2 linked regions of the Oreochromis niloticus genome follow. The protein of the gene in region 2 interacts with the protein of the main gene of each other region in a biochemical or structural test. Links are inferred from orthologs where the notes say so. Each region holds a gene or a part of one and is shown on either strand. Other genes may lie near its edges.

Evidence for each region.
Region 1: the proteins of ube2s (region 2) and anapc11 form a complex in vitro, tested with the Homo sapiens proteins (31 studies listed by BioGRID). The link is inferred for Oreochromis niloticus from reciprocal best matches to the Homo sapiens genes UBE2S and ANAPC11.

The regions. Positions count from the first base shown.
Region 1 is NC_031971.2:37,631,085-37,639,243, reverse strand, and holds anapc11 (anaphase-promoting complex subunit 11), read right to left. Parts: upstream 2,993-8,159; 5' UTR 2,834-2,992; exon of another isoform or gene 2,830-2,833; intron 2,726-2,829; 5' UTR 2,717-2,725; coding exon 2,608-2,716; intron 1,218-2,607; coding exon 1,072-1,217; 3' UTR 669-1,071; downstream 1-668. UniProt on the Homo sapiens protein: Together with the cullin protein ANAPC2, constitutes the catalytic component of the anaphase promoting complex/cyclosome (APC/C), a cell cycle-regulated E3 ubiquitin ligase that controls progression through mitosis and the G1 phase of the cell cycle.
Region 2 is NC_031976.2:22,314,572-22,322,669, reverse strand, and holds the start of ube2s (ubiquitin-conjugating enzyme E2 S), read right to left. Parts: upstream 3,378-8,098; 5' UTR 3,151-3,377; coding exon 3,148-3,150; intron 1,531-3,147; coding exon 1,383-1,530; intron 1-1,382. UniProt on the Homo sapiens protein: Accepts ubiquitin from the E1 complex and catalyzes its covalent attachment to other proteins. Catalyzes 'Lys-11'-linked polyubiquitination.

The DNA.
Region 1 (8,159 bases), on a different chromosome or scaffold from region 2:
AATAAAAGGTTTTAAAAGTTTTAAAAATTTCAATACAATCAGCTTTTTAAAAGAATCTAAACTGGGATGACCACATGACATGTTCATGTCCTCCACAGTTTCCTCTAGTTACTACGTGAAACCGAACTTAAAAAAAAAAATTACAGGACAAAAACTAAAATATAAAACTAAATTACTTTAGCCAGGTGAGAATATGGAGCAAATCTAGAATGACTGACTGTAATTTTTCAGTACAAACATTTTATTAATCATTGATGACAAAAATACAGGCTCCTGAGTGAGGAGTGAAATAAAAAGCACTGGAAGGAACGGTCAGTGCAAATCATTACACAGTGATCATGTTGGACCACCTTTGTTCTTGATGAAACACCTGGATCCGGATGGGAGTCATCTCCCGCCACAGCACAGCAGGGGTCACTGAATAGTTTGAGGATGAAAATGATGTGAATCATCTGCTACGGCCTTCACAGTCCCCAGATCTAAGCTCATCTACAGAAATGTCTCCAACCCCAGTGTGTCAGTAAATAAGAGGATATCTTCTGAAAGTATGGTGTGTAGTGGCTCCAGCAGAGATGCAGACTTAGAGAATAATTGTTAAAGAGCACTTAAGTTATTTAAGACCTTATTTAAACAATTTATGTTTTTGGAGACGTCCAAGAGTTAAGGGATAAATTGAATAGAAGATATTTAATCAGCATTGTTTTGATAACCTTGTAAATTTTTTTTCCATTTTTATCCAGACAGGTTCTGACATATGAAAAGCTACAGTCTTTGTTTTACAGTGAAAAGCTACACAAACAAACAAGAAATAATACATCAGTGTGGAGCTGCCATGAAATCAAAGTCAAACTTCACGATCCAAGGAAATAATCAGCCAGACCTTCAAGACAGACTCAATACAATGCATGTTTTTTTTCTTATTTAATTTAATCACAAATCCTTACCAGTAGAATAAAACATATTCAGCGTGTGTTCTGCATTAGTAGAAGTACCAACACAGATTTATTTACAGTCTACATAAAAGTCTGTGAGCGAGCCTTTCGTCTCTGTGGCAGCGACGCCTCCACAGGTTCACTCCTTGAACTTCCACTCCTGCCGGCACATGGGGCACTGCTGCTGGACCTGCTGTGAGTTCAGCCACTTCAGGATGCAGTGCATGTGGAAACAGTGGGAGCACTGACCCCAGACCAGCGGGCAGTCATCCCCAGGCACTTTGCCTGCAAAACAAACAAACAAACACATTAGAGATACTGGGCAGGATTTTGCATTCAGTTGCTGATTAGCAGATACTTGTATCCTCTTGTAATACTAAATGAGGATAAAACAAGTGTTTCCCCACACAGACCACTTAAGTATATTTAAGAACTCATTTCATCCATTTGTGTGAGCAGCGCCATTCCCCGATCAATTTAGGCATTTGCTCTTATTTTGAAAGTTGAGTTGCTGCTAACTAGCTACCCGTGACCTTTCCCGTGTTGCCTTTTCTCCAGTGAGTGGCTCACAGACCTAGCTGCTGTTGTGGCGGTCTTCAATATCAACCTAAAGAACCTACGGACAATACTACAAGACACTGCAGCTGGAGTTGATCTCCAAGATGGGTCACTGGAGCAGCCATCCATCCATTTTCCATCGCAACTTATCTGTGATAAGTGGTGGTGGAAGCTCTTTATCCTAACTCGGGGCCTCCTCCCAGTTGGACATGCCTGAAACACCACCAGAACAACCTCAAGTGTCTCCTTTCGATCTAGAGGAGCTGAGGTTCTGCTTTGAGCGTCTCCTGACTAAAGTGCTCATCCTGTCTGTAAGGCTGAGCCCAGACAAGCTTCACAAGAAGTTAATCTCTCCCACAAATATCCCAAATTAATATCTTTCAGACGCCTCTCACAGCGACACCTTTTCCTTCATGCTACCGTGTCAACAGCGTCTGTGCTGTTAACAACCAGGAAGGTTCCTCTCCTCTTTAGTCCAGAGGATGTGGTGACCCAGTACAATTTCAAATTTCAATTCATCTGACCTAAGAACAGTTTTTCTACTTTGCCTCGGTCCATTTTGAATGAGCCCAGAGGAGATGTTGATCATGTTCACATACAGTTTGCTCTTTGGATGACACAAACCTGGATTTGTGGATATTTGTGGTAAAACTGTCTTCACTGACAGTGATTTCTGGAAATGTTATTGAGCCCTTGCAGTGATTTCCATGACAAAATCGCGTCTGTTTTAAATGCAGTACAGCCCTAAGATCACAGGTATCCTATTGATTTTTGCCCTTAACCCCTTCACACAGATACTATGTGCTGTAGACGACGCGATATTCTGAGGCTTTACAATTTTATTTTGAGGAACATTTTTCTAAAATTGTTCCACAGCTTGTAGAAAAGTTTTTTTGTAGAGTGGTGATTTTTTCCCGTCTCTGCCATCGTTCTCACTACTTAGTTTGTACAAACGGGAGGGGCAGGATAAATTTGGCATATTGTCGATCGGATAATACGTAAAGCGTTATATGTTTTAGAAGCAAAACCACCAAAATAATAATCTTGTTTTGTTATGTTTGCATCTTTAATGCGGACACTCGTTACTTAATGCTATGTTATTAGCTCTGATACTCACAGTCAGGACAGCAGCCGTTGAAGGCCATCCTGCAGATCCCACAGTTGTCATCGTTGGCCACCCAGAGCCAGGAGGCAACCCCGTTCCACTGTTTGATTTTCACCTTCATCCTGCGGATCTGACAGGAGCACAAAAGCATCACACCGGAGCAGCTAACGCTAGCACGAAAGCTAATGTTGACACACGATTTCTGAATATTAATGTTCAGCAACACGTTCTTACGTACAAGGCAGCGACCACCGTCTCCTTCAGGTATCTCACACTCGTTAGGTTAGTCCGTTTCTTAGCAAAAAACAAATCATTTAGAGCTTGTTTGACTGAAGTCTACAACATAAAAGTGATGTTTTAGCAACCCGGGCAAAAATCGTCTCTTCTTCTTCTGTTGAAAGACTGCCAGGCTATGTCCCGGGATGGCGCATGCTGCCCTCTACAGTCGGATGGGGGGAAACCTCAAAATAAAAGAGCACCAAAGATCTGATTTTAAAGAAAACAATCCTGACATCATCAGGTTAGTAACACAAAGGAGCTCCTGCCAGATGTTTCACGAGCTCTGTAACGATTTTGAAAAGGTGATGCTGTCATTCTAATGTTTACACTTGCTTATTTTTTGACAAACATACTTATTTTAATGAACCTTTATTCTATCATTGACCATTTGAGGCAATCTCATTCATTTGGACCTACCTGATATTTTCTATAATATAAGAAATAATAACAATGATTTTTTAAGGGGCTAAACAGAATTGAAATTGAAATATTTGCAGGATGGACACTTGTACAACAATAAATCTGTAATGTGCACATAAAAGCAGCACATTTGGAAATTAATAAATAAATCCTTATTGTTAATGTTTAAAACAACTAGTTTTCGCAGCAACATCAAAACAGACAAGAGCATGAATATGAAAATAAAAGGATACAAACAGCGAGGTAGTATATGCAAAATAATAGTGCATGATGATTATAATATACAGTGCAAAAAATGAAGAATGAGAGGGACAGGGGTTAATTCACTTGTAGTTCTTGGGGTAGGGGTTTATTGCAGTAGAATAGGAGAAGAACTGGGGGGATGTATTTGACTTGCCTGTGGGAAGAAGCTGTTTTGTAATTTGTAATCTATTGTAATCTGTTAGAGCTCAATCAGAAGCAGAACCATTTCCAGAGGACTGTGGCATTGCTTCAGGTGATGTTGAGGATGTATCCATTAAACTTAGTTTTTTTTGCACTCATCCTGCGTAAATCTCACTCAGGGATGGTAGTATCACACGTCTGGAATGACCCAAGCAGGTCTTTTCCGTTTTTGATGAACCACACCGTGCAGCAATAGATGATGAGGCCCGCTATTGTTGACTGAGAGAAGCTGGTCAGCAGGTGATGAGAGAGGATCTTTAACTTCCTAAGGATATAAAGCCTTTCCCCACCCGATGGGAGATGTGTGGTGTGGGTGAGATCGACCAGGATGTCCACACCAAGGAACTTAAAGCTCTCCACTTCCTCCACCTGTACGCCTGGAGCAGAGTGCTCGGTATGCTTCAGGTTTCTTAAGTCTACATTGCTTCTCTGCTTTTTGCTGTGTTTACGTCCAGATTATTGTGACAACATCATACAGTCAGAGGCTGAACTCGTCACCTGCCATCATCAGCAAATTTGACAGTGGTGTTGGTTTGGTGTATGTGCAGTCATGGGCTAAGAGCGAGCTGAGGACAAATATGCACACATACATGAAAACCTTGACACGTCTCCATTTTGTTTTGTTTTCTTTACAAGCAATTGTAATGCTAGATGTCCACTAGATGTAGTTGGTCTGCAATCCAGTGTGCTGAGGTAATGCTCACACTTACAGCACTGGAAGCACATCTGGTCTTCCTTCTCCCGGACATTTTTGTGTACACTTTCTATTCCTGCATCTTGTTAAAATTTTATGTATCCGTTTCTATTTTTTCTAACATTATTTTTACATTAAGGGAAACAAGCACCATTTCCATTTTACAGAATCTGAGATGATCAACTTTCAGTGATGAAATGCAGGTCACTCAGTGCAGAGAACCTTTGATCATTAGTGGAGTTGGAGATGCAGCATGAGGCCCGTATTTGTAACTTCACAGATCACCATGTCACTAACAGATGACTGCAAGGAATGTAAAAGCAATTTTTAGTTCTAAGTAATAAAAACATTTTAATACAGGACTTAAATAACCGTGACAGGAGTCTGCAGTTTCTTATAATTCAAGTTTAATGCTGAAAAACGTAAAGCCACCATTTTCTCATTAATCCACACATCCTTTTTACACAATATCTCACACAAAGGTAAAGAGAAGATATGCAAAGATGAACAGGGAGCAGAGAGACTGATGAATGTGATGAACAGTCACGACAGACAGTTATAGCCCTCATTTTTCAGTGAGATGTTGGTGAGAGGTGCTCACCCTCCAACAGCTAAAGTCAGAGGCAGGTGAAATTTCTGGTGTTCAAGAGAATGAACTGAAATGGAAATGAAAACCCATCGCATCTGAGCACACTTACTTATGCCTACAGCTTCAATTCAAAAAAGGTCCACTCTGCTTTCTAAGATCTACACACAAAACTGGAGTGTGAAAGTGTGAGAATAGTAAAAGGAATATAAAGCAGTAGTCAGGTTTGAACTGTTGCCTCATCAGTCGAACCTGTGAGAAGATGAAGATCAAATCGCCTGAAGGAATAACCAGGTGAAGTCAAGTGTGCCGTCTTAGAGCAGGAAGAGAGAAGAGTGGAGAAACACATTTTACAGGCATCTTCCTCCCCCCACTGTAATTAACATTCACCCCTTTACCCCATCACACACCCATAGCCCTCATCACGAAGAGGGCCACTCAGTAAAACAATTCATGTTATTGCAGTTAATGACATGTAGATACCACAAGTTAACCAGTAACTATTAAAAAAAAAGGAAAAAAAGAAGCAGTTTTGTGTATCAAAAACAGGCAGGGTCCTTATTTTTTTTTTTTTCGTAGGAGGGAAAACAAATATGAACACACAGATGCCACAGCTGTCTTGCTCACGAGGTCTGAGCATTTCCTGTCATCCAGTCCTATAAATAACGCCAAATTTTTGTGCTTCTTTTTGATGTTTCAGTGAAAGAAATGCTAAAACCAACTTTCCACAGTTGTTTTACCGTTACAAATGTCTTTAATTTGGTATACCAAAAAGTAGTCCCGACTGTCTTATATCAGCTAAAGGAGATTCATATTTTATTTATCATTAAATATTTGATCTGATATTCGGTCCAAGTGCTCCAACATGCTCTAGAAAGACTTGAGTCATGTGAGCTACAGAAACCTACAGAGCTGCTTTCAGGGGGACTTGTTTTGGTTAAAGAGTCCCAGAATAAAGACAGACTGCAGGAGTGAGAGAAAGACCAACACTGGCTCATCTGCAGCTCTCTTTTCAAGTCAAACTTTGACGGGACAATAAACACGTTAAAGTGATGCAGTAATCCTGTTGCTTTTTACAGCAGAGTATCACAAAGAAGCAGCTGCCGGACTGTAACATTAGATTAAGCATTATAACTGTTTCAGCACATGTATCATAAACAAAGTTTTAACGTTTGTAACCCAAACTGCTCGAAAATCTGTTGAAAATTCAGCGAGGTACAATGATCCGTGATCGTGTGCAGATGTGCGCTGCCCGAGGAACATGGCGCTGCGTGAAGTCATTACAGTGAAGAGCAACAACCAGTGTGGCATCTGTGTGCATATATGTATGAGGAAACCCCCCCCCTCTTATTTTTTTGCCGTTGTTGTCAGCTGCACTGTGTAACCATGGCAACAGCACCCAATGACTCTTGGCAAAGCTGAACATTTCTGCCCTCGACGGGGAGTCTGATCTGTGCGAAGTCATCAATGCTTATCAACCAAATAGAACACGTTTTAAAAAAGAAAATGAAATGTTCATTCGACTCACGATCGCTTGTCTATTACAGTGGTGACTAAGTGATGCTTACAAAGGCTAAAATGGTATTATTCATTGACACATGGCTCTTAAAATGGCTATATCTTAAATCTTAAATAAGAGATCCGTAAACCCAATCACCGCGTGAGCATGCGGCAGGCCGCCATGCCACTTCACCCATCAATTGTCTCCAAAACACAAACAAACCAACACTAGCACTTGTACAGTATCGATGTGGTCTACTGGCGCGCTGTCAAATGATAAATCACAAAGAAACATTCACCCCTAAAGCACACTGAAATCTACATCACTCTGGAAAAGTAACGATGGCAGTTCCACCCAACTGACCACAACCGTCCAAATTCAGGCATTTCATTGGTTAGCAAGCGCCAGCCAATCAGTAGCACATTCACCAATCAGTGACAAGGCATTTCCTTGACTGCTTCATTTAACTTGAGTTCCTCAAATGTGCAGACGCTTGACAGAAAGCAAAGTAACTGCGGCCGTTCCACGTTAAGATTATTTTTTTATATATATTTTCAAAGCATGAGGTAGGGATGCACCGATGAATCAGCCAAGTATCAGCTGATAAGATGGCGTTACTGACTTTTGCGCTGGCTAAATGTTCAAAAACTGTTCCATGAAGAGCTAAAACATGCATTTTTTTTTTAAATAAAGTTTTTTTTTTTCTTTTCATTTCACCTAGAACAAAAACAAAATAAATACTGAAAAAAAAAATGTCAGTATCAGTGCTGGATTACGGCCTAGTATTTCACAGTCAGTGCATCCCTTACTACGAGGACAGAACACGTGTCGAGGAGAAAATCTGGCAAATTATTTTTGTTTCTCTCCTGACAAAATGTCTGTAGACAAGAAACGGTGGTGCCACAGAATTCAGCCGTTTACCGACTCGAGTTTGCCCGTCTGTCTGCCTGTACACAAGAAAAAGTTCATCTGCAATCAGCACCCGTGATGACGGTGGCCCAGCGGTGCAGCGCAGACATAAAAAGAAAAAGACAACATTTCACTGCAGAGGAAGAGGTAATGACATTGTTGTTTTTGAAATACCAGAACCAAAGTCAAAGGACAATCATGATGTACTTTTTGACACGACTTTAAAATGTCCTTTCAAACCCTGAAAGCACACCGAGATAACAGGGCGGTGTGTGCATGCTGGTTAGGACTGTAGCCAGAGTGTAAACATTTCTTAAGTAAAGTATGGCCTGTGTTGTATAACCAAAGATAAAAAGGCAGCAGTCGCACAAGACTTCAGGAATAAGTCACCTTTACCAATCATGTCAAACATGACTCAAGTTTGGTCACATGACAGGAATGACTGTTGGATCTGTCAACTTATGCCTGAAGTATTGTGAGTGCTGCCTTTTTATCTTTGGTTATTCAACACTGGGCCCACGTCACTTTGATAGTTCAAGTCTTTGACTCTCATAATACTCATTTCTAAATGTTCTCTATCAACTTTCTTCTTCCATCCTTTCAAACTTTAAATTCATGTCAAACCTCTGAAAGTATTACAGAAACAGGAAATGACATCACCCTAACATCAGGTACTTTGGTTCTGCCAATTCAAAAACAAAAATGCATGAAATGTCCCATTTTCAGAAATG
Region 2 (8,098 bases):
GTTTCAACCAGGTATGCCGAGTAACAACGACATAAATTTGACGTTATGAAACACACTGTACTGCCGCTTTAACATAATGAATTACCTGATCTGAAATCAGATATAAATACTAAATGTCAGTGCCCAATAAATGAAACTGATGCAGCGACGGGCCTCTGTGGAGGAGTAGAAAATGTGGACAAGTGTCTGGCTCTTCAAGGCCTACTTAAAAATAACGTCTGAAGCAATGAGTGCATAGTGGCAAGATATCATGATAGTTCAAGTGGCTTATGTGTCTCACATGACATTAACAACACCCACAAAATCCATAATTTAAGTGATTACACGACATCATAAATTTTGAAGGATCCACGAATGGGAAATAGAAATGTAAAACAGGCATTGAGGATTTATTATTCTACAAATTAATGGCACAAAAACTAAATTATGTACAGGTAAGTAAAAGATTCCATGAAAGCTGATGGCTTCCATTTAAGCTTCAATAGTTAACCACATAATACCTAAAAATCATGGAGCAGACAGCTGACTCGGCTCAGCCATCACCAGTCATGTTATTACCTTGAGCTGATAATACAAAGTTGGCTATCAATAAGAAACTCTCAGCCTTTAAATATTAGAGTATAAAGCTGTTTTTCTGGATGCTGAGTGGTGAAGTAACTAACACACTTTAAATGCACAGTTCGCTGCAAACATGACGCAGAGCTCAGGTTTTTTCCTGGACACTGGTGACCCTTTGATTAATGACCAGAACACACTAGCACGACTGCCTGGCACACAGTGAAGGCGGCGAGTCTCTGTCACCTTACTTAACAGAAATCTGAATTTATTTCTGGACATTTTAAAAAACAAGAATGCATGTAATGTTGAAGTAAATAAAATACAGTCTAAAAAGAAAAGGGGCTAAAATATTTTTGATAGAAACCTAGAAATTTTTGCATGCAGGAAAAACCCTGAGAGATAATATATTTATGAATACACAAAAAACCCTTGAAAATACAAGCTGCAAGGTGACTAAACTAGGATATTTTATCACTGAATAACTTAGATTTTGAAAATAAATTTCCACATTAGCTATTCGAGGAAAGAAGTAATACAATTAGTATGGTTTCATTAAGTATATTTTACTCGTCAGTCTCTGACAATTTGTCTACTTAATGAAATACGAAATGCTCTGTACTGAACTTTTATGATAAAATATATTTTGAGTCAGGATAAACTTGACAAATCTGATTCAAACTAGAGATCTTAAAGAAACTTTTGAGAGTCTAAAGCCCTAACTTATCAAAAGACCATACAGCAAATACACGTGGTGAGTTTACTCCCAAGAGTTGTGTCGGTCCTGCTCTAAGTGTGAAGTGATGACACCATATCATAATCCTTACCTGGTCCCTCTATTGCTGTGTGAAGCTCTGTTATGTCTTCTTCGCTGGGATAAATCTTAATGCCCTCGGGTGGATCTGCTGCTAAAGCTGAAACTTCTTTGTAGACCAAGCGAAGAACATGAGGTGGCAAATTCTCCACATTGGAGTTCTGGAGAGACATAACAATGGTTTAGCAACAGCGCTGAGAGGAATGATCAAGCTGTACTCTCACTAAGAATGAGGAAAAATGAAGGCCCTAACTTCACCTCAGGTACTGTTAAGATAAAGCTTTACATTTAGGCCATGTTAGCCAAAGCAGCTGAAAAAAACTCAACAAATATAGGATCACCAGATTCAGAAAAAAGAAAAGAATATCCTTGTGTAGGACAATGGGATGTGTTACTAATGCTGAGAAGTAGACTTAAACAAATTATGCAGTTTTGACATCAAGAATGTCCAGAAAAAAATGAAGCACATTTTATTACGTTTTTTCCCCCCAACTTCCTATAAGCAGAAAAGGGGTCTAAACTTTGTTCTATATTGTTATGTGATAGTTTGTACAATGTACATTTATTTCCCTTTTCTATAGCAACAACTGTCTTACACCATTCAGTGTTACTTCAGCTGACTTGGGGACTTTTTAAAAAAAAATTAGTTTATATTTTCCACATGTTTTGACTTTTTATTTTTAAGCATTCGTTTAATTTCCAGAATGGGTTCGCTCATTTTAGTTTTTCATTTTTAATCTTTGAAAATATTTAGTTGCAGCATTAGACAGTTTATGTTGACAAGCAAACTGGCTAAAGCTAAGGCTATTTCCTCTACATTTTGATTTTCACTTTCTTTTGTATTTCAGTCTACTCAAATATTTATTTCACACCTAGTTTTTGGCTTACTGCAAAAACCTTTGTAGGAATGTCTCAGTAGATGTAAACATTTAACAGCCACGTGTTTACTTTCCTAAACTTGGACTAACAAATAAATATGACACTGCCTCAATATGTTGGTCTGTTAGCACACCGGACACCTGTTCTTTAATATACAGCGAGTGTGAGTGAAGTAAATTTAACATTATCAAAATGTTTATTATGTAGGTATCGACTAATTACACACTAAAGCATAATTTTTTTCTATGGCTTTGATGATTTCGTTTCACACATTTTAATAATGTGTCGATCGGCCATATGGCAGATGAAAAATCTATCATCGGTACCACCTGAGACCATCTACATTTTCCTCTGCGGATCTGCTATCATTTTACACACGCTTTTCTATGTAATGCGCGCTTGCTAGTCATTATCTTCCTAATTTTAACACGTATTTACGTAATGAACATGAGCTGGAGCTCCTCTGGGGGAGCTACGGTTTCATCATCGAGCCAGCGGTCCCCGCACCACGTTAAGCATCCTCACAGAAGTCAGAGGAGTTATAACTTGATCAACTTGAAGTATGCTTTAAAGGCACAACAGTAGATAATTAATATCAGTTAAGCAATCGACGGGCAATGTTAACTTTATGTTACCGTTAGCATACCTAGCCTAGCAAATGCCTCGATTAGAGTTCGTGTTAAAGAAGCTTTTGGTTTAGTGGTAATAGTTTCTATTGTGTATGAAGGTACTTATTAATTACACGAATATACATCTGAAGACATTAAATAAACGCATTAACTTTTAACAAATAGACACAACCGCCCATAAAAATCGAAAAATAAAAAAAACTCGACAGCTAAAATCGGTTAGAGCTAGCAGTGTCTCCCATTAGCCGTTAGCTAAGAGGTTGATCTTACCATCTTCAAAAAGGAGCTCTGCTTGGGTGGTGGGTGTCTGGCTGGTGTCAGATATAAAGAACCGTTTCTAATAGAGTCTAGAGGAGTGAAAAACTATATTCGATGAAAACTTAGCCGGCTGGCTGATGATCGCCGTTCTTCTTTTCTTCTCTACGTTGACACAGGAACAAAAATACGATCCTCAGTTGAACCTTAAAGCACGTACCAATGAGCGGCATAGTGGTGTGAAACGTCAGAAGAGACAAACCAATCGAAATGCAGCGATAGAGCTGCGTCACGACAAAAAGCCCTATCAGTCACATAGAGTGAAAAGTACATCTGATACACGCCAGCGATAGGTCCATTTAAAAAACTCTCAAATCTAATCGATACTGAAAGATCAGCATCAGCTACATTGAACACCAAAATTAAGAAACGCCCACTGTTTAAACCAGCCTTCCTAATTTATTCAATAGATAAATACTTAACTTGATAAGCGGGATCACTTTTGTTACGTTGTATGATAGGTTTCCTTTAATGTTGGTTAATTAAGTTAACTCTAATCTAACAATAACTGACTAAAATTACACACACAGTTTTTTTCGTATTCGTGTACGACAGAAACGTGCCTGAGCAATACACCACCAAAAATAACAACACAATTAACATTTATTCACCAGACACACTTTTAGGTGACCTACACCTTGTTAGTACTGCTCTGGAGCCATTTTTGCCTTCAGAACTATTTTAAGTCTTCATGACATTCAACAAGGTGCTGGAAACATTCCTCAGAAATTTTGGTTCAGATTGACATGATAGCATCACACAATAGAAGCAGATTTGCTGCACATGGCTGCACATCCATGATGTGAATGTGCCTTTCCACCACAGCCCAAAGGTGCTCTATTAGACTGAGGTAAACTGGCTGTGGAGGCCATTTGAGCACAGTGAACTAATTTTCTTGTTCAAGACTAGGGCTGGGTATTGATAAGATTTTCACGATTCCGATTCCATTTTCGATTCTGTTTAACGATTCGATTCTTTATCGATTCTCTTATCGATTCTTTTTAAAAAAGGAGAACACTAAGGTCGAATAGCTTAGAACTTTGTTTTATATCTTCTCTTTGAACAAGATAGAAATTTAGGAGTAACATGGCCTTACAAAACCAACAGTGAGATCTTAAGAGATCCACAGCCTACGGCTCTTCAATGGGGTGTCACAGGGTCCCCAGGAAAAAAAATTGTTATTGCTACAGAAGAATATTTACTTTATTATTTTACATTTACAAAGTTTAACATAAATTATTCTGTAGCAATTACACAAGAATATCCAGTAATGTCCCTGCCTACAATTAAACACATTCACTTACGGAAAATCGGGGGCATCTGCTGTGGCAAATGGGTGCAAGCCTTTGACCACAAAAGGCTGCTCGGTGACATTCGTCTATCCTGGCCTGAAAGGAGACACTACCGGTAGACTGCAGCGAGAACTGCCAGCATCTGAGCCAGCCAGACTCTGTCTCTCTCATCATGGTCGCCTAAATGCAGCGCACAGTAATGGCAGGTTTTGTAATAAGGCAGATCGCGCTAACATAATATGCACTGTTAGCTGATTATTTACCTGCCGTATTAACGGGAGAGGACGTGCAAACATTACCGCTGCTGCTGGGTTGAGATTCACGAGTCCGGAGCGGAATTAAAAACATGACATTCATTTAAGGTTATCGCGTGTTTTGTGAGCAAACGCTTTTGCATATTCGTAGTGTTTCCTCCCTTAAATTAAATATCTACTTTGCAAGTATTGCAAGTTGCCCTGTTGTCATCCGTTCTCGTAAAGTATAATCAAACTTTTGAGCGTTTGAGCCGCTTAGGCGCCCTGCCAGGTAAATGACGCTCCGCAACGTGGTGACGTCATTCAGGGCGACTGGAATCGATAAGGGAATCGTTTGCAAAAATGGCAAACAATTCCAAGGAATTGAAACAGTGGGAACCGGTTCTCAACAAGAACCGGTTTTCGATACCCATCCCTATTCAAGACACCAGTTTGAGATTATTTGAGGTTTGTGACATGGTGTGTTATCCTGTTGGAAGCAGCCATCAGAAAATATGCACACTGTGGTCATGAGGGGATGGACATAATCACAGGTAGGCTCAGTTGGTACCCAAAATTGGCCAGGAAAATGTCCTCACATTATTACAACACCAGCAGTAACCCTGACCATTGAGACAAGGCAGGATGGATTTGTACTTTCGTGTTTAATGTTTATAGCAGAAAGACTCTGGGCAACATTTTCCCGTATTTGATTGTCCAATCTTTGTGAGCCTGCATTAATTGTAGCCTCAGTTTCCTGTTCTTACCTGGCAGGAGTGGCACCCAGTATGATCTTCTGTAACGGTAGCCCTGTAGCTTTAAGAATGTTGTGCTTTCAGAAATGCTCTTCTGCATGCTTTTGTTAGAATAAGTGGTTTATTTGAGTTGCTATTGCTTTCCTATCTGCTCGAAAAAGTCTGGCTGTTGTCCTCTGACCCCTGACATTTGAGCATTTGAGAACTGTTGATCACTAGATATTTTCTCTGTTTTTGGATCTTCTGTAACCCTACAGATGGTTGTGTGGGAAAATCCCAGTAGATCAGCAGTTTCTGAAATACTCAGACCAGTCTGTCTGACACCACCAATGCATGTTCAATGCCATGTTCAAAGTCACTTAAATCACCCTTCTTCCGCATACTGATGCTCGATCAGACAGGTCATCATGACCAAATCTTGACCTTTTTGCCAAAATTGTCCCACTGTCTATAATCAAGTTTAAAGAGGTGATTCAGTGACTCCAAAACACTGCCATATTTTATGAGATAGATAGATAGATAGTTGTATATAGCATTTGTATTCTATTTTTATCTTATTGTATATTTTATTCTATTTTATTCTACTGTATATAGTATTTTATTTTATTCTATTCTGTACAGTTGTGTACTGTATTTATTCTTATTTTATTTTATTCTAATTTTTGCTTCATAACTTTTGCACTGTCCACTTCCTGCTGTGACAAAACAAATTTCCCACGTGTGGGACTAATAAAGGTTATCTTATCTTATCTTATAGATAGATAGATAGATAGATAGATAGATAGATAGATAGATAGATAGATAGATAGATAGATAGATAGATAGATAGATAGATAGATAGATAGATAGATAGATAGATTTAAATATTTAAGCATAACAAGTCACCTTTACAGTAGTAGGAGTTTATGTAAATAAGTGTAGGAGTCATTTGGGTTGATACCTTATGTATGCCGCTAAAGGTCACTTTTTGAGTTTTTTGTTGTGGAAATAAAGAATCTAAAGGACAAGATGAGTAAGGCTGGAGTTATTGGACTGTATCAAGTTAAATATATTCATGCATACCAGTGACATCCCTGTCATTGAGTACCTCAGTGGCTTCAAGCGTAGGCTTAGCCTCTACAGTAAGACTAAGCTTAGGATTTTGTCACCCTAACAGTTACAGTAATTAACAAATCTATTAGATTACTTGCCATAAAGTCTGTAAAAATATTTCAAAAATCTGTTTAAAACTAAAAATGATTTTGTTATTCTATTAGACACATTAAACAAAATTGATTTTCCTAAACTGGACTTCCATCCAACCATTAAAATTTTTCCTGCACAACTGCAAATAAATACATTTATCTCAATAAAAAATAGACAGATTTAACATTTTTTCTGCAAAAATGTAAATTTGAAAATTTACAGTTTTCACTTTATGGATTTGCTTGCTTCCATTTTAAATTGTTTTAAGTTCTAACTTTCTTTTATAATAGGGAAAATTTTTATTAAGAGCTAATAATAATTTGCTAATAATTTCAGAATACATACATTTTTCGACTCCTTCCTTTAGGGGTCGCCACATCAGATCATCTGCCTCCATTTCACCCTGCCCCTAACATCCTCCTGTGACACACCAACCCTTTGCATGTCCTCCTTCCCTACATCCATGAATCTTCGTGGTGGACTTCCTTTTTTCCTCCTGCCTGGCAGCTGCACATTCAATATCCTTTGTCCAATACATCCACCATCCTTCCACAGCACATCCCCGAACCATTTGAGCCTTCCCTCTCCAGCTCAGCCTCCTGTCTCTTTGTCAGTAGCACCGTCTCCAAACCAGACATGACAGCAGGTGTCACAACTATCTTGTAAGCCTTTTTTTTTTTACTCTTGCTGCTATCCTTCTGTCACAAATCACCCCCCACACTCATCTCCACCACTGTCTGTTCTTAACCTCTCTTATGCACTGTTTGTTGTCTTGGATGTGACCCCAGGTATTTAAACTCATCCAACGTTGCAACCTCTGCTCCTTGAAACTTTACCTTTTCACCTCTCTAGTCTAGTTTAGTCATACTTCTACTGACTTTCTTCAGCTCTTCAACCTACTCCTGGTTCTTACTACAAATCACAATGTCGTCTGCAAACATCATTGTCCACTATTTCAGAATAGAATAAGGCAGTCATGTAGAAATCTCAAGTCTCACCATACAATGCATCAAAGCCTTAGTCAGGCAGGCTTTGAAAACAACATTTCCTACATATTTTCATGTATTTATTTATTTCGTTTATTTCAGTTTGGTGGTTGTACAACTTAATTTCATTTAGTTATCTTTTTCCTAGAATATAGTTGTTGTTGTTTTTTCGAGTCCGGATATGTACTTTTAGTTTTTAGTTGAGGCTTAGCTCACTTCATTAACTTCAGTCAGTATCACCGCAGTCAGCAGTAACCAGGCTCGTCACTAGGGGGCGCTTCAACATCAGCTCAGTGATTAGACGCGGGGAAGAAGTGTGTGTGTGTGACACCATTGGTGAGTTGAAGATGAGTTAATCCTGTCATTATTATTACTTTCCTCTATTCAGCATAATTAAACTGTTAAAGTGGCGGGGTTTCCAGCCCTGCTGTGAAGGACGCATACGGACGACAAAA